Linked DNA regions of Kluyveromyces lactis. The protein of the gene in region 4 interacts with the protein of the main gene of each other region in a pairwise test. Links are inferred from orthologs where the notes say so. Each region holds a gene or a part of one and is shown on either strand. Other genes may lie near its edges.

Region 1 (3,463 bases), on a different chromosome or scaffold from region 4:
GCAGTTCTGCAGCATCACACATCATAGTAATCTTCGCATATGCAGCTTGCAACTCGTTATCCTTCTTGTCAACGATAGATTTCGACTGAGCCCTATTCAAATCCCTAGTAACTCTAGCATCACTTCCCTGGGCCTGCCCGATACGTGTGGTTAAATGGTTTCCATCCAACAAAGGATTTGAAGCTTCACCAACACGACTTGGATCGTCTCCATTCTGATCGTCATTGCTAAAAGTACGCCATTCTGACCTGGTATCCACAATTCTATCCGATAAGACTAACCCACATAATGCACAGACGATATCACCTTCACTAAACCGTTCCACAACTTTCGGAGGATAAACTTTACATTCGGGACACGATATAACAATGTTCAAATTTGGCCCCCTCCTTCTAGATGAGACAGCTACATTTGCTGAAGCTGCTGCTGGCAATGACATAGTTTCTCTTTTCTCTTGCCTCGGTATATGACTCAGAACAGCCTAAAAAAATAGCTGGAAACTGAACGGTAAGAAGTCGAATGATGAGCCGCTAAGATAACTAAACTTAGGCGCTGCTTTTGTTATAAAAGAACAGAAGAAATACCGATTAACCAACTAGTAGACGGACAAGACTGTGTAAGTTGCAACTGGATAGCTCCTTATCATTTTAGTTTCTCAATTTCTAAGCAAAAATGCTGGAAACTCGACGGAAATATATATCACGTGATAAACGCCACAGAAACAACCGTGGCATGTCTCTTGTTTACGGTTGATGAAAATTTTCACGAGATCCGGGTAACAAGTAATAACTTCGCAGTTATTACTACACTGACTGGAAGTAGAGAGGATGAGAGATGTGGTAAAACAAGTTCCACCCTCGCAACTTCGTATCGTATATCACGTTATATCAGTTCTTATTACTGAGATGATTTTTGTTCCCTGCTAGTGTCAAAAAAAACTGCGCAACGGCTACTGGGCTGCCTTTATATGTACTGACAGTTTCACTGCCCTTGACGGTATTACTGTATATATAATGTTAAATATCTGCCTGGAAGTGCTCATAGATATACCAAATACGTCCCAAATATTATTGACACAAATTATGGCTTGCGAGTAGCATAAGATTGCCTCGTAATTGACGAGTATCCACTGTGTTTCCACTGTCGTCCGCCAGCAAAAAGAAATTCTTTTCTACTTTGAAATTTTTCAGCTCTTCGAAATATGTTAAAACCTGCGATGAGATGAGATGAGATGAGATGAGACTTGATATTTACAGAACACCTGTTCAAGTAGATGTTTCAGTACTGTTTTCCGTGATAAGTTCACCGGAACAGCTAAGATATCTATAATCCAGTGCAGTAAATATACCTTTTTCCATTAATCAAAAGAGATGGTGAGAGTAAGAAAGAGAACTTCCAAGAGAACTTCCACTCGTATGAAGGAGGGTATCAAGAAGAAGGCTGCTGCTCAACATAGGAAAGAGCGGAAACTTGCTAAGAAGGATGTGACATGGAAATCCAATAAGAGTAAGGATCCAGGTATTCCGGCCAATTTCCCGTACAAGAACAGGATCATCGAAGAGATTGAAGCGAAGAGAAGAACTGATTTGGAGGAGAAAGAACGTAGAAAGCAGGAAAGGTTAGAGGCTAAGAGAAGAACTCGTGAACTAGGTGAAGATGTTGGTGATGACGATGAATCTATGGATGAAGATGAAAACGACGGCAACAATGGTCTTTCTGCTTTGTTAGAATCCGCTCAGCAAGCTGCAAAGGAGTACAATGGGGAAGGTATCGATGATACAATGAATGGAGAGCAAGAGGATTTAGAGGTTGCTGAATACGACGTAGACTTTTACGCTGACGCAGATGATGATGATTCTGAATTAGAAAAGTCTAGAAAGGCTTACGATAAGATATTCAAGACTGTGGTGGATGCGTCCGATGTTATCCTTTACGTGCTAGATGCAAGAGATCCAGAAGGAACTAGATCGAGAAGAGTGGAACAGGCCGTGCTTCAATCCCAGGGTAAGAGACTAATTTTGATCTTGAACAAGATCGATTTAGTGCCACCATACGTGTTGCAACAATGGTTAACCTTTTTGAAATCCTCGTTCCCTACTATTCCATTGAGAGCTGCTCCTGGTGCCACTAACTCCACATCTTTCAACAGGACTTTGACTCAGGCTACAACTGCTTCAAGCTTGTTAGAAGCTTTGAAGACTTACTCCAATAATTCAAACTTGAAGAGATCCATCGTTGTTGGTGTCATCGGTTATCCAAACGTCGGTAAGTCGTCTGTCATTAACGCATTGACCTCTCGCCGTGGTGGTTCTTCTAAAGCATGTCCAGTGGGTAACCAAGCTGGTGTCACTACATCTATGAGAGAAGTCAAGGTAGATAACAAGCTAAAGATCTTGGATTCTCCAGGTATTTGTTTCCCAAGTGAAAATAAAAAGATGAGTAGAGTGGAACAAGAAGCAGAGTTGGCCTTGTTGAACGCTCTACCTCCAAAATTCATCATAGATCCTTACCCAGCTGTGCTCAAATTAGTGAAGAGACTTTCTAAATCTGAAGAAATGACTGAAAGTTTCAAGAAGTTGTACGAATTACCACCTATCCCAGCTGCCGATGCAGACTCTTTCACCAAACAATTCTTGATCCATATCGCCCGTAAGAGAGGTAGATTAGGTAAGGGCGGTGTTCCAAACTTGGCCAGCGCTGGTATATCCGTTCTTAACGATTGGAGAGATGGTAAGATCCTAGGATGGGTTCTACCCAATGCTTCTAAGGAATCTGCTGCAGAACATGCTGCTACATCTGGTGAAGCTAACCAACCAACTCTAGGTACTGGTGCTGTCGCAGCACCAGCTAAGGTGGAACAAACGACCATTGTTCAAGAATGGTCCAAGGAATTCGATTTGGATGGTCTTTTCGCGTCATTGGATAACGCCATTGAAGCTGAACAAGACAACTTAGGTAATTGAGAACACAGAAAACGAATTATTCTGCATCTCTATGAAATACGATCAAGGATCCTATTGCTTATTTTATTTCGCATCGTTAAAGCTATAGATTTAAAAGCTTATGTATTAGGATGTGAATTTGAACACCCGTTTCAGTCCACGCACCTAATAGACAATACACATTTGTACACTACTACATATAAATGATTTAATATCTTCTTCGGCAAGACGTTTTTGTCATCTCTTTTCTTTAGGTAACAAACCTTTAAATAATACTTTAAATGCCTACTAAAATCAAAATGTTTAAAAGAGTGAAGAAGAGAAATAATCCGTGAGTCTACCATACGAACTCCAGGCTACACTATGTGTACAGCGTGACTAAATCTAGGGCCAAATATGCAGATCAATGTCAATGATAGATTGAATATAGGAGGTGAGTTTTGCACAGTACGATACATCGGATCATTGCCAGAATGGCCTAATATCGTTGCATATGGTTTAGAGTGGGACAACAAGCAAAG
Region 2 (3,954 bases), about 150 kb from region 4:
TTTATCTTCCCCGTCAATTGCCATCATTGTTCCCATATCATAAGGATCAGCTTTATCATCTTATTACTTTTATCACGCCATTATTACCATTAGCACTCTATTTTTATTTTCATTTCAGTGAAATGATGATGAAAATCAGAAAAAACACAAAGACAAATGCCATTGCAGTTATTTTTTTATACGTTTCCTTTGTCCATTCATTAGGATACCAATTGTCATTGTCTTACGAATATATAGATATTCTTCGCTATCGCTACTTAGAAAGAAAATCTCGTTTGTCTTATTCAACTTTTGAAATGTACAAGTTTGAGTTATTTTTAGGCAGGTCAATGGGTTCGTATCTATGACCCTAATGTCCCTCTAAAACTACACCTTGTATTTCGAGGTAATCAACTCGACTTGAACCTCTTCTCTTGTATGCACAATGAAAAGAAGAAGAAGTATAGTAGAAGTATTCCTTTACCAAGAGTTGTTCTCAATACGTAACTTACCTTGTTCACCTCGAGCTGGTGCATCTGAAACCATGAGTTTCCAATCAATTCATGCAAATGCACGTCTATTTCTGCCCCAAGAATGTATATGTATGTGTGTCAATGCTTATTGATGCATGCACCATTGGCAACTAATGGCACCATTGGCTTCCACCATGCACGTCGTTTGTGCGGGTAATGGCGAGGTCCCAAAAAACATTCTTTAATTGGGATTGATTCCAGTAAAGAAATTCCAATGCAGAGAGGCGGATACTTGAGGGAAGTACATACATTGTGCAACTTTTGATTCAACTTACTTTCACGCTTTACCTACTCCTGAGCATGTCCATTGGCTCGTAACGCTCTCGGCAAACCATGTGACAAGCAGATTCCCCGCTTCTTGGTCTCACTACTACATAGAATGCTTTTGTAAATACTAAACGAGAGAGACAAACTCATTACCCGGATAATCGTTAATCACGTGATGAAAAGAAACGACAAAAATTTTCTACCTTTACACCAAAATCAAGCTCATCTCATCTCATCTCATCTCATCTCATCTCAACTCTTATTATGCGCTCAGACTGTGTTTGTTGATATACACAGAGGCCACTTCTCTGTTTGTCGTTTGATTGATCTATTGCTTGGAAAGAAGCAACACTCGATAACAAGTGCAAATCTGGAATGAGTCTTGATTTATCCAAATTGAAGGAGAAAGTGTCCTCCAAATTGGGAGCTTCAAAGGCCAAAGACACTAAGCCTAAGAAGAGTAAGAAGCAGGGCGAAAAAGAGACAGACGTTACTCCAGCTAAAGAGGAAACTGCTGTCACCAATGAAGAATTGATCCGTGAAGCTCTGTCTCTTGGAGCCTCTGAAAAAGATGTCCAGCTTGTTGATGGTGTTGACGACGATGCCAGTGAGATTGAATTCAATGAAGCCGATGAAGAAGTTGATGACGAGTTTAAGAGCGATTTCAGTGCTTTATTGAAGAATATGGGATTCGATAAACTACCTGAACCTGAAGTTGTAGAAGAACCAACAGTTACTGAGGATGCAGGCAAAGAAGAGAAAGATATTGAAGAGGAGGAGGTAGAAGTTGAAGAAGAAGAAGAAGAAGAGACGGTAGAGAAAGAGGAGGAACCACTTAGTCCTAAACCAGCAGAAAAAAAAAAGGAAGATCAATCCGACATGATCACTCAAACTCATATTGTTCAAAGTGATAAATTACTTGTTCCATCAGATTTGTTGTGGTACGAAGTTCCTTTGGACCCTGAATTAACAAGAGAACAGGATCCGCTAACGAAAGAACAGATAGATAAGTTATACCAGCGTGGTAAAGAGGCCTTAGAATTAGATAACACTAATTACTACGAAGAATTTACCAAGAACTCATCTCAACGTAAGTTTATGTCCCAGATCTTAAGCGATGGTACGTTGAACGATAAAATTAGTGCTTTGACTTTATTGCTACAGGAATCTCCATTGCATAATATCAAATCTCTTGATTCTTTGATATCCTTTTGCGGGAAGAAGTCAAGAAATTCCGCATTACAAGCTTTGAATGCTCTGAAGGATTTGTTCTTAAATGGTCTGTTACCTGACCGCAAGTTAAAATACTTCAAGAACCAAAACCTTTCCATGCTACTGAATAAGAGAACTTTAGCTATTTTATATTTTGAGGATTACTTGAAGGGTCTATATTTCAAGATTTTGGAAATCTTTGAGAAATTATCCCATGATCCTATCATCTATGTCAGAATGCAAGTGCTAACACATATCTTTGACCTGCTAACAGCCAAACCAGAACAGGAATTCAACTTGTTGAAACTTGGTGTTAACAAATTAGGTGACATTGATAACAAAGTAGCGTCAAAGGCTTCCTTCAAACTTTTGAAACTTGAAACTCAACATCCAAATATGAAATCAATTGTGGTAGACGCTGTTGTCGATATTGCCATAAGGCCTCAAGCTGACTATCATACTACATACTATTCCGCATTGACACTTAATCAAACAATTTTGAAACGCTCCGAGAAGAATCTAGCAAATCAGCTAATCAAGACCTATTTCACTTTATTCGAGAAATTCTTAATCCAAACTGATGCTGATAACGAGGAATCAAAGAGTGAAATCAAGGAATCCGATAAGTCATATGAAAAGAAGAGAAAGAAGAACTTCAAGAAGGGTAAAAAGGGTGGTAAGTCTGTCATTGAAGAAAAAAGTGCTCAAGAAGTTATCGAGGAAAAAAATACCAAATTATTCGGTGCTATTCTAACTGGTTTGAATCGTGCTTTCCCATTCTCTGATATGCCGGGATCCGTGTACGAGATACATCTTGATACATTGTTCAAGATAACACATGCGTCTAATTTCAACACTTCAATTCAAGCATTAGTATTGATTCACCAGGTTGTCGTGAAGACAAACATCACAAGTGATAGATATTACAAGACATTATACGAATCCCTACTCGACCCAAGATTGGTGTCGTCATCGAAGCAAGGTATTTACTTAAACTTGCTTTACAAATCTTTGAAAGATGATAAAGACATTGGAAGAGTGGATGCTTTCGTAAAACGTATATTGCAAGTCTGTGCCCATTGGTTGAACATCGGTGCCATTAGTGGTATGTTCTTTTTGTTGATACAACTTTCAAAGAGTTTACCGCAGATCAGAAATGTTCTAATCAACTCACCACTAGACTCTGTTTACGAATCTGATGACGAAGATTCCAGGGATAAAACTAAGGAAAAACCTGGTTACGATAGCCGTAAACGTGATCCAAAATATGCCAACGCTGAAAATTCATCGCTTTGGGAGATAAATCAATTCTTGTCCCATTTCCATCCTACTGTGCAGTCGTACGCACAAGGGTTCTTCGACGGTGACACTCAAGAAACAAGAGAGTTAGTCAAACCCGATCTTGGCCTATTCACGTTAGCCCATTTCTTGGATAGATTCGTGTACCGTAACGCCAAGCAAAAGCCAACCACTAGAGGTTCATCTATCATGCAACCTTTGGGAGGTGTACACACTGGTTCGTTATTAGTGAAGGCCAGCGATACCACATTGCACGAAGTACCTGCTAACACGGAGAACTGGTTAAGTAAGAAGGTGCAAGATATCAAGCCAGATGAAAAGTTCTTCTATCAATATTTCTCTACAAAGACTAATGCCATCAAATCTACCAAGTCAGGTGCAGAGGATGAAAACGGTACAGCTGAATTCGACGAGGAAAGCGATTTGGACGAAGATGAAATTTGGGATGCTTTAGTGAAGTCAAGACCTGACGTCGAAGGTGACGAAGAGGACAGCGATGTTGAGTTCAGTGAGGACGATTTCTCACAGGATGATTTCGGATCGTCATCCGAAGATGTCGATATTGATCTCAAAGACCTTGCATCTTCGGGAGACGAAGATGAGGCATCAGAAGCTGATCTTGAAGCTGAAGAAGGTGAACCAGAAGACATCAGTGACTTCGATC
Region 3 (2,992 bases), on a different chromosome or scaffold from region 4:
TTAAACTCGGCAATAAGAAATTAGACGGTCTATGGAAAGTGCAATCAGGCTTAGATTTAGCGAGAAAGTATTCAGAAAACAATAGACAAGATCCCTCAGAACTATATGACACTATAATATCCGAATACAAGGATAAAACTGAAAAAACTGATGGTGATGAAACCACTACTGATAATGTCATAGTAAAACAATGGCAGAATCTAAGATCTTTGAGGCCGAAATACTTGTTTGAGTTTAATAAGGTCAGCGAAAAAACTACTCTGGCGGGGTTCGCCAATGAAGAACTCATTAGGAATGATATCGAATCTAAGAAAAGACGGCTAGCCGAAAGAATAGAGTCAAAAAAGAAGAAACATTCCGAACAAGTCGCCGAGGCTGAACAGTTTTTCAAAGACAAGGAACAAGAAAGGAAAGATCTACTTCAAGCGAAGATAAAAAGTCAAAGAGAAACTCTGGAAAATGGAAAAAATGATAAAACAACTTCGCCTGATGATCAAGATAATGATTCACTAAAGAGAAGACACGATAGTCCAGAGGCTGACGGGAATGAAGAAGAACAAGCTGTTTCGAAGAAACAAAAACTTGAGGAAGAAGTTGAAGAACCAGATGCTGACGCTGAGGCTCAAAAGGAAAAAGCGCTTGAATCTGAACCAACAGAGCTTAAAACAATAGAAAGTACAGAAACAGAAGTAGAGGTGCCGAAAGAACATGAAGGAAGCTCCCACACGGAGTAGGCTAACAATACAGTAATATTTTTTCAGACATCCGTTCAAATATATAGCATATAATTCGATTGAAGAATCATTTATTTTATCAATTACAGATGTTACTTATCAATATCACACGATTCTAGACTATTCCTCTCCTAATTGACATTCGACAGCTATCTCCTTGTCTATTATGAATCGATATCCTTTACTTTGCTTCGAAAGTGAATGTTACCCGGAGAATAATCATATTTCTTTTTTTTTATGTCAATTTTTCATTTAGACAATCCGATGCCAATAAGATGAAAAAAAAAAAAAGAGATGAGATGCGATGCGATGAGATGAATTCAAGTACACAATTAATACTCGGGGACTGGCGTATCGTTTTACTAATCCTTACCATACTATTCAGGACAATCCACCTCAAACAAACAGACAAAATAGTTAGTTATGGCGGGATCTAAGGACAGACCAGCTCAGTACAAACAATCTTCTCGTAAAGGTAAGAAGGCATGGAGAAAGAATATTGATATAAGCGATGTGGAACGCAAGCTCGAAGAGAAGCAGATCCTTGAGACTACTCATGGTAAGCAGAATTTGACAGAACTTAGCGATGATGCGCTTTTTGCGGTTGATACTGAGGGTGACCAAGTTTTAAAGCAGAAATTAGTGAAGAGGAAAGCAATCAAGAAAACTCTGAAGTCAACCGAGATTTTGGAGTCTATCAAGTCTAAATCCAAAGTGCCTGCTCTAACCAACCCAAAGACTGCTAACAAGAAACATGATAAGATCCAAGGGGTATCAAAGAAAGAACTGGACAGATTACTTGCTTTAGCTGGTAAAAAAATTGGTGAAAGTAAGTTGAAAGCAAGAGTTGCAAAAGAAGGTCTTGTGAAGTCAGGATCCCTTGATTTATGGGGCGAAGATGCTGGTAAGGAGGTTAAAGTACCATCTGGACTGAAGCTTAAGATAGCACCAGAAGAAGTAGAGAAACTTCCAAATGGATTCTTAAAACAGTCTACAACTAGTTGGTCCGTCGCAACTGTTAAGCCGGATTCCATTGCTCGCGTGCCAGAAATTGTCAAAGAAAGAGATGTCATTCCACATGCAGGAAAGTCATATAATCCAAGCAAAGAAGAATGGGAGGCTCTTATAAGTACTGAATATGAGGGTGAGCTGATAAATGAACAGCGCAGGATAGCTTTAGAACAATATAAACAACGAATTCAACACTTGATGGATACTATTGAAGATAAGGAGGAAGAGGACTCCGATTCAGAAGAAGAAAATGAATCAGAACTTGATGATAAAGACCTTTCAGAAGAGGGAGAAGAGACTAAGTTGTCTCTGAATCCAGCAACTAAGAATAAAAAGAAAACGAAATATCAGAGAAATAAACAAAGAAGACACGAAGAAAAAGTCAAACTTCAGCAAGAATTAAAGAAATTGAAGGAAAAGGTTCTCAAACTTGAAAAATTAGAGGAAATTCAGCAGGAAGTGGAATCCACCGTCCCAAATCCGGTCTCTACAGCCGGAAAAGTTAAAAAGAACAAGAAGCATAAGCTTGGTACTAAACATTCCGTCATGGAAGACAATTTAGAGGTGAAATTCTCAGATGAACTATCAGATTCATTAAGAAAATTAAGACCAGAAGGTAATCTGCTATATGACACTGTGAGAGCATTACAAAGTTCTGGTAGGGTAGAATCTCGTATCCCTATTAGAAAAGGTAGAAGATATAAACCAAGAGTCACTGAGAAATGGACTTACAAGGACTTCAAATAGATTAATTTGCTCTTTTCTTTCTATACATCATTCCGTACCATTTGTACAATAAAATACACAGACGTACCTGTGCTTTTCTTGCATAATTTATATAGAGCAAAATATTAATAGATTCATTAACTCTGTGATTATATTATATAATAGTAATGAATACAATATCCGACACTTTTACTACTGATTGAACTACACACCAAGAATAGTTCATTTGACTTGGCAGATTTAAATTTTCAAACCAATTTTTCACACCAATGTCAACTTTGCCTGTAGTTCATCTCTCTGCCTTTCCCATTCTTTTACCTTTGTTAGCTTTTGGTTTAGGGTTTCAATCTCATTTTCGATTGATAAAATAGCTTCGTCTGACCCTAATGCCTGTAGGCTCCAATCAGTTCCGTTAGTCAATTCCAATAGGTAGTCATGGTATTTTATCAAAGACGGGCGTTGAGAGATGGATATGAAGTTGAATCTGTATCTCTTCAACATGGTAAAAAGATGATCTTCCA
Region 4 (2,255 bases):
AATTAAGAGCTTCGCATGTGTTATGTAAACTATTTATGATGTTCTTTGGTTCTTCTTCGATATTCTTCTTGGTATATGCCGTCTAACATACATATAAATGTAGAACAATGATAGATATATCGTCAAATTCGAATGGAAGAATTCGATGAAGAAAACTCTATTTATATATTTTCGGGATTTGTTGATCAATAACAATATGCTATCGTATAGATCCTAGTTCATAGCGGCTCCAGTAGTATATTTACTGCTTCTGAAAAAAAAATGACACCTTAGAAGTTCTCTCACAACTCCATACAATAACATCTCCACTACCTTCTTCCCGGCTTAATTTTTTAATATTTATTATTAATTTCCTATTGAAACAGAAAATATATTTATTTTTCGGAATAGTAAAACTATACAATATTTTAAAATAAATTGAATTAAGTTTTATTTAAATTAAATAGATAATTATAAAAAAAGTAAAAATTTATTTATTTCTATTATGAGAAAATTAATAGATATTTTCTCTAGAAAAATAAAAGAAGAATTAAAACTAATTTGAAATTATATTTTATTTGCACGTGATATATATACATCACTTTGTTCACTACTGTCTTGTTTAATATACAACATAACTATATGGATTATCATTATTATTACTATACTTAAAAAGACAATTGAAAGAAAAACTAATATCATTCGGATATCTGACATTTAAACTCCAGCACAGTGTACCTATATTACCTTATACTAGTCGTGAGTTGTGTACTCTGTATCATCTTATTGTTTCTGATCATTTATTCATTTTCTATCATTATTATATTTTTTTATATTTTTTTATCTAATTTAATTTATTCTATTTTATTTTAATTGTTTATTCTATTTTTTCACATTGACATGCAGGAATTCAAGAAATAAAGTGTTACCAAGCGAAAAGAAATAAAAATAAAACTTTTCGATGATGAATTGAGCTCATCTCATCGCTTTGGTAGAACACTATCACAACTACTACAAAAGCACAACTGGACTTGAATTTATACCTCTGGGTACGCTGTCTACTAGTTAAACCGCGAGACAAGTCTGAATTTACAATAATCAGACTTATAGAAGAAAAATCCTTGACGCATAACAATCCATCGAACTTGAAAGATGGCTCCCAAACAATCAAAAACGGCTAAGAGATCCAAGAAACAAAATGGAACGAGGGAAGTAAGATCAGAAGTATTCGAGGACTCTATTGCCAAAAATCAAATGGCAAACGTGCCTAAAATGACTGAAAAATCTGATACCAAGAAACCAACCAAGTTACAGGTGAAGAAGGATAATTTCAAAGCACGTCTATATGGTAGCCAGAAGAAGAAGGAAAGACGCTATACCGAGAAAGAATTAAATATTCCAACACTTAATAGAGCGATTGTACCTGGTGTAAAAATCAAAAAGGGTAAAAAGGGGAAGAAGTTCATCGGTGATCATGATTTAATAGCGTTAAACAGATTAATCAAAACGATAGGTGATAAAAATGATGAAATAACAGAGAGCAAATTAGAGAAGACAAGGAGACTCGAAGAAATTCGTGATCTAAAGAGACAAGAAATGGAAAGAAAAGAAACCGAAAAGAAGGAACAACTAGAGGGTAAGAAAGATGAAATCAAGAAGAAGGCATCCGTTGCCAGAACTATTCGTAGGAAAACCAAAAGGCAAGAACTGAAACAAGAGACATTAGCAGCTCAGTCTGAACCTATCAAGAAGAAGAAATCTGTCAGCTTTGCATAGTTAATACATCAATTTATATATGCATATGTGTGTATGTAAATGGAGGAATCGATAACCTTTTAGCATCGATCATGTGACTAAACATATTAAAAACATTAGATTACCGTTACTGTAACAACTGGAGTTAATCAGCGTTTCAGCCTCAACACAATTTTGGTGTCAGCAGCTGTTCAAAGATTCGGATATGAGGGCGCATGTGTGTATCCGGCTGCCATGTCGGTCTTCTATTTTCTAGTCATTGTTGATGATGAGAGAACAGAGACATTTCAACGTTGTTGGGGACTTCCATACAATGCAGATTGAAAAGTGGGACATTCTTACGATTCTGAAGCCAGATGATAAAAAAAAAAAAAAAGAAAACTGACGCTGCTCTGCCAGATACCGTTATTGACAAGATGCTTTCAGCTGGTAAACACAAGCACCATTTTTTTTTACGTGACTTAACTATTCTGAGTTCATCTAGTATTCTGGTAAAGCAACGGTCAAAAACTCATCCCTTC
Region 5 (3,036 bases), on a different chromosome or scaffold from region 4:
GATTAACTATGTGCACAATTGGAGCGGGTTTTTTGTTCCCTTCCTTTATTGTTTTTGTTTGCTGTTTTAATCTTCAGCGGCTAGCTCACAAAAATTTCCTGTTTCAGAATAGAATTATTACAAATTGCACGCAAAACGGTAGTTATAGTCTCTTTCAATTAACCTTCAGTTCACTAATCGCCTTAACAGGTTGCAGTCAATAAGGATGTAAATCAGAATGTCCGTAAATTATTGTTGTTTGACCAACTTCTGGTGTCTTCGTCCTTTCCTTCTCCTTAAAATGTGGTTTGTTTTAGGGCTAGTTTAGTTTCAAGTTCGTTGAGATTTTATAAAAAATGAGAAGTAAGCCTATCTAAGATATCAAAACCAAGAAATTTGTGAGTGAGAGCATTTTCTCCATTGGGAACGTCAACTGTCACCTTTCAGAATGTTATTTTTTTGATTTAAAGTAAGTATTTATGAAGGAGTAATATGTATGCCGATTATATATCCTTTTCCATTTATTTCAAAGAGACCAACTTAACGTCGAAAGTCAATTCGGAGTTAGCTGGAATACCTGGAAGAGCTTGTTTACCGTACGCATATGGAGCAGGGATGACGATTCTACGTTCACCACCGACGGCCATACCGGCAACACCGATATCCCAACCTTTGATGACTTCACCACGGCCCAAGTTGAAAACGAATGGTTTACCGCTGGTGTTCTTGTCAAAGACCTTACCATTCTTTAGCTTACCAATGTATCTCATACCGACCTTGGAGCCCTTCTTGCAAGCCTTACCCTTACCAGTGACACGGTCTTCGATGATGATACCACCTTCAAGCACCTTGGTCTTTGGCTTTTCTTTCTTTTCTTCCTTCTTTTCTTCTTTCTTGGTTGGTCCTTCTTCTAGGTCTTTCTTGAATTCAACCTTCTTTTCTTTCTTAGCCTTCTTGTTCTTTTTAGTTTCTTCAACTAGCTTTTGTTCCTCTTCCTCTTCCTCTTCCTCTTCCTCTTCCTCTTCTGGTTCTGGTTGCTTTCTCTTGTTGTTCTTCTTAGACTTAGATTGTTCTTTTTCGACAAGCTCTTGGATCTTAGCTTCAACGTCGCTAGCATCTTCTAACTCTTCCAGATCAGCTTCTTCATCCGGGGTTAGATAGTCGTCTTCATCTTCATCGTAGCTTTCATCGTCTTCTTCATCGTCATCTTCGTCATCGTAACCTGGTGCATCGAATGGGTGCTTGACATAGTTACCGGTTAGAGAAACACGGTAAGAACCAGTAACAATGAATTGAACTTCTTCTTCTGGAGCAATTACAATATCCAAAGATTGTTGATATTGAGTCTTTGGTGACAAAGTCGCTAGGACGAATTCTTGGAATTCGTCATCGGTGTCAATTTCGATAAGTTCTTCATCGCCTTCATCTTCATCTTCCTCTTCCTCTTCCTCTTCCTCTTCTTGCTTCTTGGACTTACCCTTACCCTTACCCTTCTTAGACTTTGACTTTTCCTCCTCTTCTTCTTCCTCTTCGGAAATGTCTAATTCATCTTCGTCGTAATCACCCAACAAACCACCAGCATCATCTTCATCGTCGTAGTCTGGGTTTCTCTTGATAATTCTCAAAGTAGATGGGTTCTTCTCATCATCCAAAGCTTCTGGATCGATAGCAGCCATGGTGATACGCACGGTAACAGGCGTGGTAACATCAATGGCCGGGGTTGGAGTGTATGGCTCGATGTTCAAATTGTAAGCAGCTAAAGGTAATAGGTCAGACATTGTTATGCTATTCAGTTAGAATGAGAGTTTTCTTAATCTGTGGGTATATGTCTACAAAAAAATATACGAACTAAACCTCTATGAAAAAGGTTCTTCCACTCAAGAAGACTCTACCTAATGTAATTCATCTCATCTCATCTCTCTTATATGGCGTCCATCTCTTATTTCTTTCACAACCTTAACTATTCCAAATTCTGAAAATTTTCCAAAAGAAACGAACTTTATGTAGAGAAGATTCGACGTTTCTTTTCTGCACGTGATGAGTTTTATCGACCTCCGCTTAGGGTACAAGACATATTGAAATACATCGTTCGAAAGGGTCGTCAGACAGGGTACACACGTTGGTTATAGTGTTAACTGGTGTGTCTGCAAAACAGTCATGAATATATAGCAGAGACTCTTAGGCAAAAGTAGTTCAAACCAATTGTTACAATCAATTGTCCTTATAGAATAAGGTTGTGGGGATGACGACGTTGCAAACACTAGAAAGGGATTTAATACACCCTTAAGATATAAAAGTTATGTTAATATTATATAACAAAGTAGCTTAAAGTTTTGAATTGTTTTTCGCTTTCTTAGAATTTCAACAAGTGAGGTCTGTCACCGTTCTTCAAAGAGAAAGTAGCAGCCAAGTATTGCTTCAACAATGGGGTCTTCTTGATTTCAGCCAACAAAGCCTTATCGATGTTCTTTTGGTCTTCGATTCTTTCAGCCTTGATTTCCTTCTTTGGTTGGTCTTCGTTGAAGAAGTTGGCTTCAGCTCTTTGCTTTCTTGACAACTTTTCTCTGGAGAAGTAAGCGACGTTGAACTTTTCAGTGTTAACACCTTCCAAGGAGACTCTGGTAGAGGTAGCAATGACGTAACGAGCGTTGACTCTTCTCAATGGAACACCGTTAACCTTGAATGGACCGGAAACCAACAAGGTGTTGTCTTCCAAGTGCTTCAAGTAGACAACTCTCTTACCTCTGAAACGACCAGCCAACAAAATCAAGACGGTACCTGGGACCAAGGAGGCACGCAACTTTTGTGGTCTAGCGGCCTTTCTGGTTTGCTTTGGAGCTGGGACTTCTTCAGCTGGATACCACTTTTGAGCCTGTATTGAAAATTGAATTGAAAAATTCGTTGTTAGTAAAACTGAAAACAATATTTTATCGAGTTATGCCCGTGTATAGAGAAGGAAACCCACAGTTTCAATTCCATTATCTCACATGAGTTCGGCTGTATGTAACAAAACTAAGAGTAATGGATGAAAACATGTTAACTTCTTCTCCATAAAAT
Region 6 (4,213 bases), on a different chromosome or scaffold from region 4:
AACTACGGTGCCAATCTAGAATTCATTACCGATAAATCCTCTGAAGGTGCTCAATTCGTTACTGGTTTCGGTGGTATTGGTGCGCTACTTCGTTATAAAGTCAACTTCGAACAATTGATGGAAGATTCAGATGATGAATATTATGATGAAAATGAAGATGATGATGACTACGATTTCATTTAAACCTCTTCAGTCAAGCGATGTATAAATAGTGTTTATAAATATATATCTTTCTTTTCATTCTTTTCTTTATCATAAGTATCACCAAGATATATTTGATTAAGTTGTATTTGCAAGACATTACATATTTTTCATGCAATTCAAACATTCTTCACACTCCGACAACGACTGTTGTATTGGGAATATATATGTTTTCCTATTTTTATTTCTCTATAGCAGATAAAGGGCTTCATTTATGCTTCTTGCCCTTGAGTGTTTGCAATGCATCCACTTTATCATGTCCAATAATGGAATTGTGACCTTTATGTTTGACTAAAGTGTCAGCGAGATTGGTCAGACCTCCTGTTAGATAGCTTTTTCTTAAATCTTTTCTTAGTGGCATTTTTAATAACTCGTTGAGCTGGTATTTTAGAGCCTTATTTTCATTCTTTTCCAACTGTTTATTCAACTTTTTGGTTTTGTTTCTAGCTAAAAATTGGTCCTTTTCCTCTTCTTCTGAATCTAATTCAATATCCAATTCTTCAGCAGCCTTTTTTAACCAATTATCATCCTTATGTAGTGATTTCGTTGCTATCTCATCATCAGCAAGTTCGCTCGCTATCTTGCTTCTTTCTCTCAGCTGAGAAACGATGTCAGGCTCAAGTGGTAACATTGGGACATCATTCTGCCATTTTGTTTTCCTGGGGTTACTACTCTTCTTGGTAGATAACACCTTTCTGAGCTTTCTTAAAGGTCCCATGGATTCCTGTGGTGAACAAATCATGACAGAAACACCTTCATTATCACCACGGGCTGTTCTTCCACTTCTGTGGATATATACGTCAGCACTGCGGGGTAAGTGATAGTGTAAAACATGTTTGATACCCGAGATGTCCAATCCTCTAGCAGCGACGTCACTAGCAATTAAAATTGTTGGTTTTCCTACCTTGCTATTTTTCTCTGATTGTTCTTTGAACTTTTCAAGGTTCCTAAGACGATTTTTTTGAGCCATTGATGAATGGATCTGGAATGACGAAATCTTTAGATTGTTTAAAAATGCATTCAACTTTTTGACGCTATCTATAGCGTTACAAAATACTAAAGTTGTGCCAGGATACATCATGATAAAGTAGTAGACATATAAGTCACGCTCCATTGGCAAACATTCTATCAGGGATTCTTTGACCTGAGATGTAACTTTATGTTCAGGATTAGTATCGATAATAACTGGCTTAGATTTGAATTGAATTTTCTTCATCAAATGATTTAAAACTTGTTCCATTTCATTGTTCTCCCCACCGGCTGTTTTAAGGATTTTCCATGAAGTTTTATCTAATTTCGTGAAAAGATCCAATGAAAATGTGGCAGAGAAAATCATTGTTTGCCATCCACTTCCAGTTGGCTTTCCGTCGATACTTGTTTTAATTTTTCGGGCTTTCCCTAATAACTTCAAAATTTTCTCGAATTCATCGAAATGTCCGTCTTGTAGTAGTCTGTCTGCCTCATCAAGAACTAAAGTGTCAATTTTGGCAAACCTAGGAATCAGATCTGGGTTCCTTTCTAATAATTCCAAAAATCTACCAGGAGTTGCCACAATGATTCTACCAGAACCATCATATTTTAAGATACGTTCTTGTTTCTGAATCGACAAACCACCTGTTAGTGAAAGAATCGTGTACTTGTTAAGCTTATTCATTTTCGTCCAAACCTTTTGCAAATGGTCAGTTACTTGATGGGCCAATTCTCTAGTTGGGGTAAATATCAAGCCGATAGACCTATCATTTGATGTGTCTTTAATTAATTGTTCAATGATAGGAATACCATATGCTAAAGTCTTACCGGAACCTGTGCTAGCCTTACCCATGATATTATGTCCTTTCAGAGCTAAAGGAATAGATTTCAATTGAATTTCTGTAGGCCTGGTGAAGCCAAGCCCAGAGAGTCCTTTCAGCACTGTGAATGAGAGATCCATATTTTCGGACCACTCAGGAAGTACTGGAGGCTCTTGATCATCGATATCGACGTTAGAGGAAAATACGTTGCTCTGTAATAAGTCATCATTTGTTTGATCTTCAGTGACAACAGTACCTGCTTCCCCCTTAACATTTTCCTTCTCGGATCTTTCTTCTTCTTGATCTTCTGCTTCTTCTCCCTCTTCTCCTTCTTCTTCAGTGGACACATGGAACTCGCTCTCTTCATCATCCGAAGCTGCACTTAACTCACCCTCCTTGATATCGTCAAAATTCTTGAATTCAATTAATTCATCCATGTTGACATCTTCATCATCCTCTTGGAAAACGATATTATCCTTTTCCTCCACTTGCTCCGGCTCTTTCTTAACGTTCTTGTTATCTTTCGTGATGAACTGGACTTTACCGTCGACAACTTTCACATCCACACCATCGATTTCTTCTAATCCGTAGAAACCACCGAAATCATCTAAAGTATCTGGAATATCAACACTCTTCCAATTCAACTCATTAGCATTAACAGTGATATCTGTAGTGGCTACTTTCTTAAGGCTATTCTTATTAACCTTCTTCTTTGAATGATTCTTTGAAATACGGTCTTTCCTATCACTTTTAACAGGCTTCAAGTTCTTGCGATTCTTATTCGCCATTTTTGAAACACCGTATACCATTATTATTTCTGTCCTTTTCTTATACAGAATGAGGTCGACAACAATTAATTACCGAGAAACTTATTGTTCATGCACACGTATGCTGGTATCTCTTCTATCTCATCTCATCTCATCTCTTGGAGCTTCTTTCTCAAGATTTTCTAGAAAGTCGAAAAGAAACGATTCTATTTATGTTACCCGGATATGTCTTAAAAACTGTCCAACTCTTACATAACCGTCTGGTAAACATGATGGTATTGAAGCGAGATGAGCATCTCTCAACAAAACAGGTAAGGGCCACTCGGGTTATAACCCTCAACTTATACGTGAAAAATCTTATTACGTTGTTCCAATGCTCTCTCGAAGAAAGAGGACCATAACTGGAAAACCTGTTGCGAAACATGTACCGAAGATCAAACCTTCCAAGGCCAGGAAGATAATTAGACGTTTCCATCTATTGATTCAGAAGAGAAGAGTGATATGCAACAAGCTGCGATGTGATATAGTAGAAAACGATGAAGAGGCCAACGCTATTAATATTGAGAATTTTTTCCGAAAGAATAAAACTTTACAGGAAGATTTTAATAAGGGCAAAAAGTCTAGACGACCAAATCCAAGATTAGAGGAATTACTTGTTCATGTGCAAAGCATTGAACACAGTCAGCAATTATGTCAAATTCTTGGTTATATATGTGGAGAAATTGAAGAAGATGGCGGTTTGCAGAATTACCAATTTGCTAGTACAGTTGGTCAGGATTCCAACAGAGGTGGTGATTCATCTAAACAATTGGTAAAGTGGTGCAAAGAACTCGGGGTGGATAAAGCTCTGGGTATGAATGCGTTGGAATTGGGATCCCTTAGTGCGAAAAATCATATTTCTGTGTGTGGTCTCTTTAATCCCGTTGTTAGGATTGATCTTAACTCAAATGATACTGTAAATATTGAAAGGCAGGATTTCATGAAAAGACCATTACCAAAGGATGAATCGCAGAGATTTGACCTGATATCATGCTCACTTGTATTGAATTTCGTGCCGACACCCCTTCAAAGAGGCCAAATGATACTTCGATTCAAACAGTTTCTGAAATGTAACAAGAAAACGTATTTGTTTCTAGTTATACCTCTACCTTGCTTGACGAACTCAAGATACATGACTAAAGACAGATTCAATGAAATCATGCATGCGCTAGGGTATAGAAAAATAAGATTTAAAGAAGCAAAGAAGGTGGCTTATTGGCTTTACGAACTCGAACAATCTGAAAACACAATGTGTTCCTCACAAAATATGAACCAATTCGCCAAAAAAGCAAAATTATTGGACAAACCAGGCATGAACAACTTTTCAATTACATTTCCAAACAGGCAACCTTCCCATCAAGGCATTTATACAACGACCAAGCCCCTGTTCTCTAGGTAATAACGGCGGTATCTATG
Region 7 (4,183 bases), on a different chromosome or scaffold from region 4:
GACTCCTGGATATTGTATCTTCACGACACATTCCTCGCCGTTGTGCAAAACAGCATTATGAACTTGACCAATGCTTGCTGCAGCGATAGGAGTCCTGTCGAAACTCTTGAATTTCTTTTCCCAATCAGAACTCAATTCTCTAGCCAGTAGCCTGTCCAACTGTCTTGGAGGCATATAATTAGCACTGTTCTGAACTCTTGAAAGTATCGTGTATAATTGCGGAGGTAAAACCTTCTCATCCTGGAATGACATTAGTTGGCCCAACTTTAATGCTGCTCCTCTCATTTGAGAGAATTTATTTGCAATCCTTTCAACATTAGAATCTGATAACAGTAAATCTTTAAAACTTGATGATTGGCCACGACTCAGCTGAGTGATACTTTGAGATGCAGCAGAAATACCCACACTAGCAGCTAGGTGGCCGTAATGAAAAAGCCGAGAGATACGTGATGAAGGGACTTCTGAACTTTCCAGTTTATTAGCCTTTTGTTTGTTCACCAATTTATCCTCTGGAATAGCGTCAGCTGCTTTATTAGAACACCTGTGATAAGATGAAAAATGTCTCACATTTTTTTTGTTCTTGACTGAGCACTTGCTAAGGTGTGCTTTTTTAGAAGAGTGCCCTTTCGTAGATTTTCTGACGGATTCAGAAAGTTTACGGGCATGTTCCCAGTCCTTGTCGTAAAACCATTGAAATTTAGACAGTACCGGTCTTGTCAAAGTGGAAGTTTTTAGCCAAATATCAAGAGACTGTCTACCAATCGAGGCAGAATTTTTTACCACGTTGCAGAAGGACTCTGATAAACAGATAGCTTGATATAGCCCTTTTCTCGACATTGAATACAGCGATACTTCTCGATATCAATTAATTCAGCCGAAGAACTATCAGATATCACAAGATCAAAAATAAAGGGTGAAAGTATTTGATCTATCCAATGATACTACGAGTCAATGGTCAAATTCATGAATATACAGCGTAATAAGAATGGATTAAGACTCTGTCTTTACTTTATTACCTTTCCTTATTTCATGAGAGAGTCGAATCGTACAGATATCTTGCAGAATAATCCATCTTTTGAATTTCAAATAGATGCTTGTTTGCTTGCTTGCTCTTGCCATTCTAACCTTTGTTATCCGGGTAATGATGGAATTGCGATTTTGACATATGGACGTGTAGTTTTTTCTTTTTTAAAAATTTTAATGCAAATTGTAACATTAAGCTCATCTCATCTCATCTCATCTAGTGTAGTTCAATACTAGAGATAGTAGGTTAAGTGGTTATAAAATCCCCTGAATATTAGATACTACTGCTGAGTTTGGTTTACTCCGTTAGAGATTATTCGCATTACCAGTTGCAAAACATCAAACGTTGAGTAATTGACGATGGGCAAAAGAAGGTTTTCAAACGAGCATGTGTCTGCTGTTGAGACTTCTATTCCGGAGCATGCAGCTGAAATCGCAGAAAAATTAACCAAAGATCACCCTCCACCAGCAGCAGAGCCTTTAATTCATCATGATTCTGGTGAGTTCAGCGGGATGCAACGCCATCACACTACTGCGGCCGATGCCGAAAGATTGGAAAATGGATCAGTTAATCCATTCACTGGTGGCTCACTATCAGAGAAATATTTCGGTATTCTAAAGGTAAGAAGAGACTTGCCAGTGCACGCTCAAAGAGATGAATTCTTGAAGATCTATCAAGAAAACCAGATCATGGTTTTTGTTGGTGAAACGGGTTCCGGTAAGACCACTCAAATTCCTCAATTTGTGCTGTTCGATGAAATGCCACATTTACAAAATACTCAAGTTGCTTGTACGCAGCCTCGTAGGGTTGCTGCCATGTCTGTGGCACAGAGAGTTGCTGAAGAAATGGACGTCAAACTAGGCGAAGAAGTTGGTTATTCCATTAGATTCGAAAATAAGACCTCTAATAAAACTATCTTGAAATATATGACTGATGGTATGTTGTTAAGAGAAGCCATGGAAGACCATGACTTGAAACGTTACTCTTGTATCATTTTAGATGAAGCACACGAACGTACTTTGGCAACAGATATCTTGATGGGTCTTTTGAAACAGGTTATTGATCGTAGACCTGATTTGAAGATTATTATCATGTCTGCTACTTTAGATGCTGAGAAATTCCAAAGATACTTTAATAAGGCGCCACTTTTAGCTGTCCCTGGTAGGACACATCCAGTGGAGATCTACTATACACCAGAATTCCAAAGAGATTATTTGGATAGTGCTATAAGAACTGTTTTACAGATCCATGCTACGGAGGAGAAGGGTGACATTTTGTTATTCTTAACCGGTGAAGATGAGATTGAAGATGCTGTAAGGAAAATATCATTAGAAGGGGATCAGTTAATTAGAGAGCAAGGTTGTGGTCCTATCTCTGTATATCCATTATACGGTTCTTTGCCTCCACATCAACAACAGCGCATTTTTGAACCTGCTCCTGAATCCCATAATGGAAGACCTGGTAGAAAAGTCATTGTATCTACTAATATTGCAGAAACCTCTTTGACTATTGACGGTATTGTGTATGTTGTTGATCCTGGTTTCTCTAAGCAAAAAGTTTACAACCCAAGAATTAGAGTTGAATCCCTTTTGGTCTCTCCAATTTCAAAGGCATCAGCTCAACAAAGAGCTGGTAGAGCTGGTCGTACCAGACCTGGTAAGTGTTTCAGACTATATACTGAAGAAGCTTTCAAAAAGGAACTTATCGAGCAATCATATCCTGAAATTCTCCGTAGTAATCTTTCTTCGACAGTCTTAGAACTAAAGAAACTAGGCATTGACGATTTGGTGCATTTCGATTTCATGGACCCTCCTGCCCCAGAAACTATGATGAGAGCCTTAGAAGAATTAAACTTTTTGGCATGTTTAGATGACGATGGTAATTTAACACCTTTGGGTAGATTGGCTTCTCAATTCCCTCTTGATCCAATGCTTGCGGTAATGTTGATTGGATCCCCCGAATTTTCTTGTTCCGAAGAGATGCTAACGATTGTCGCCATGTTATCCGTACCTAGTGTTTTCATTCGTCCTTCGAAAGATAAGAAAAGATCAGATGACGCAAAGAACATATTTGCACATCCTGATGGCGACCACCTAACATTATTGAATGTCTACCATGCATTCAAGTCAGACGAAGCTTATGAGTACGGGATCAACAAGTGGTGCCGCGACAACTTTTTAAATTATAGATCTCTATCTGCTGCTGACAACATCCGCAACCAATTGGAAAGGTTGATGGTTCGTTACAATCTCGAGTTGAACACTACAGATTATGACTCCCCTAGATATTTCGATAACATTAGAAAAGCGTTAGCTGCAGGCTTCTTTATGCAGGTCGCAAAAAAACGATCTGGCGGAAAAGGTTATATCACAGTCAAAGATAACCAAGATGTTTTGATACATCCTTCAACTGTTTTGGGCCATGATGCCGAATGGGTTGTATACAATGAATTCGTTCTAACCTCCAAAAACTACATTAGAACTGTAACATCAGTTAGACCTGAATGGTTAATAGAATTAGCACCAGCTTATTATGACCTCGATCACTTCCAAAAAGGTGACATTAAACTATCGTTAGAAAGGGTAAAGCAAAAGCTCGATAAAATGGTGGAGCTACAACAAGAAAAAAAAAAAAGTGCGAAATCTAAAAAGTCTAAGAAATAACCAAGCATATAGATGTGTAACTTATATAATAAGATTAACCTTAGAATCAGCATGATAAGTCTTATTGTAGAAGTATTGTGCGGTATTATTAGCACGCGACTCAAAGTCTACGTTTTTTTTGCTGCATTTTATTGAAATTCGGTATGGTGTACGTTTTATATTCAACCCATAAGAACTTCGCTTATGATATTTCAGTGTAAAAAATATAAAATCAAATCTCTAGGAGTGGTTTCATTGCAATGGCGCATATAGTATCTGTGTTGCATATTTTCTTTTGTATCTAACGATGCTAGCAACACATAAAGTATTATGTTTAATAGAAGACGTTGCTAAATGATTAAGAACGACGTGGTTAGGAATTGGCAACGCACCTGAATTATTTTCACTACCTGGTTCAGCATTTTTGTTGTAATTATTGAGAATAACATTCTCCAACTGAGGTGGAAGTTGTGGAGGAGTTAACCATGACATATTTTGTTGATTGTTCTGTTGCTGG

The links.
Region 1: the proteins of KLLA0_E14257g (region 4) and NUG1 interact in binary tests that used the Saccharomyces cerevisiae proteins (3 or more experiments, as listed by UniProt). The link is inferred for Kluyveromyces lactis from reciprocal best matches to the Saccharomyces cerevisiae genes LOC1 and NUG1.
Region 2: the proteins of KLLA0_E14257g (region 4) and MAK21 interact in binary tests that used the Saccharomyces cerevisiae proteins (3 or more experiments, as listed by UniProt). The link is inferred for Kluyveromyces lactis from reciprocal best matches to the Saccharomyces cerevisiae genes LOC1 and MAK21.
Region 3: the proteins of KLLA0_E14257g (region 4) and NOP53 interact in binary tests that used the Saccharomyces cerevisiae proteins (3 or more experiments, as listed by UniProt). The link is inferred for Kluyveromyces lactis from reciprocal best matches to the Saccharomyces cerevisiae genes LOC1 and NOP53.
Region 5: the proteins of KLLA0_E14257g (region 4) and FPR3 interact in binary tests that used the Saccharomyces cerevisiae proteins (3 or more experiments, as listed by UniProt). The link is inferred for Kluyveromyces lactis from reciprocal best matches to the Saccharomyces cerevisiae genes LOC1 and FPR3.
Region 6: the proteins of KLLA0_E14257g (region 4) and MAK5 interact in binary tests that used the Saccharomyces cerevisiae proteins (3 or more experiments, as listed by UniProt). The link is inferred for Kluyveromyces lactis from reciprocal best matches to the Saccharomyces cerevisiae genes LOC1 and MAK5.
Region 7: the proteins of KLLA0_E14257g (region 4) and PRP43 interact in binary tests that used the Saccharomyces cerevisiae proteins (3 or more experiments, as listed by UniProt). The link is inferred for Kluyveromyces lactis from reciprocal best matches to the Saccharomyces cerevisiae genes LOC1 and PRP43.

What each region holds. Positions count from the first base shown.
Region 1 is NC_006040.1:1,173,577-1,177,039, reverse strand, and holds NUG1 (RNA-binding GTPase NUG1), read left to right. Parts: upstream 1-1,370; coding exon 1,371-2,963; downstream 2,964-3,463. Other genes in the region: SUA7 (transcription factor TFIIB), read right to left, coding at 1-439; PAC2 (Pac2p), read left to right, coding at 3,339-3,463. UniProt on the Saccharomyces cerevisiae protein: GTPase required for 60S ribosomal subunit export to the cytoplasm.
Region 2 is NC_006041.1:1,108,069-1,112,022, reverse strand, and holds the start of MAK21 (RNA-binding ribosome biosynthesis protein MAK21), read left to right. Parts: upstream 1-1,154; coding exon 1,155-3,954.
Region 3 is NC_006042.1:1,055,269-1,058,260, reverse strand, and holds NOP53 (Nop53p), read left to right. Parts: upstream 1-1,157; coding exon 1,158-2,492; downstream 2,493-2,992. Other genes in the region: HPR1 (Hpr1p), read left to right, coding at 1-734; ATP-binding cassette long-chain fatty acid transporter PXA1, read right to left, coding at 2,733-2,992. UniProt on the Saccharomyces cerevisiae protein: Late-acting factor in the nuclear maturation of 60S ribosomal subunits, which is required for normal acquisition of export competence. Required for the export of the large subunit.
Region 4 is NC_006041.1:1,262,119-1,264,373, reverse strand, and holds KLLA0_E14257g (Loc1p), read left to right. Parts: upstream 1-1,131; coding exon 1,132-1,755; downstream 1,756-2,255. UniProt on the Saccharomyces cerevisiae protein: Required for efficient assembly and nuclear export of the 60S ribosomal subunit. Involved in asymmetric localization of ASH1 mRNA.
Region 5 is NC_006038.1:421,074-424,109, forward strand, and holds FPR3 (peptidylprolyl isomerase FPR3), read right to left. Parts: upstream 1,758-3,036; coding exon 501-1,757; downstream 1-500. Other genes in the region: RPL6A (60S ribosomal protein eL6), read right to left, coding at 2,333-2,851. UniProt on the Saccharomyces cerevisiae protein: Proline isomerase that belongs to an abundant class of enzymes that catalyze the cis-trans isomerization of X-Pro peptide bonds and can accelerate the refolding of proline-containing polypeptides. Specifically binds nuclear localization sequences.
Region 6 is NC_006039.1:966,658-970,870, forward strand, and holds MAK5 (ATP-dependent RNA helicase), read right to left. Parts: upstream 2,801-4,213; coding exon 410-2,800; downstream 1-409. Other genes in the region: SUP45 (translation termination factor eRF1), read left to right, coding at 1-183; BMT2 (25S rRNA (adenine2142-N1)-methyltransferase), read left to right, coding at 3,132-4,196. UniProt on the Saccharomyces cerevisiae protein: ATP-binding RNA helicase involved in the biogenesis of 60S ribosomal subunits and is required for the normal formation of 25S and 5.8S rRNAs. Required for the maintenance of dsRNA killer plasmid.
Region 7 is NC_006038.1:40,901-45,083, forward strand, and holds PRP43 (DEAH-box ATP-dependent RNA helicase PRP43), read left to right. Parts: upstream 1-1,383; coding exon 1,384-3,687; downstream 3,688-4,183. Other genes in the region: protein kinase COQ8, read right to left, coding at 1-837; KLLA0_B00583g (protein kinase subunit beta), read right to left, coding at 3,919-4,183. UniProt on the Saccharomyces cerevisiae protein: Pre-mRNA processing factor involved in disassembly of spliceosomes after the release of mature mRNA.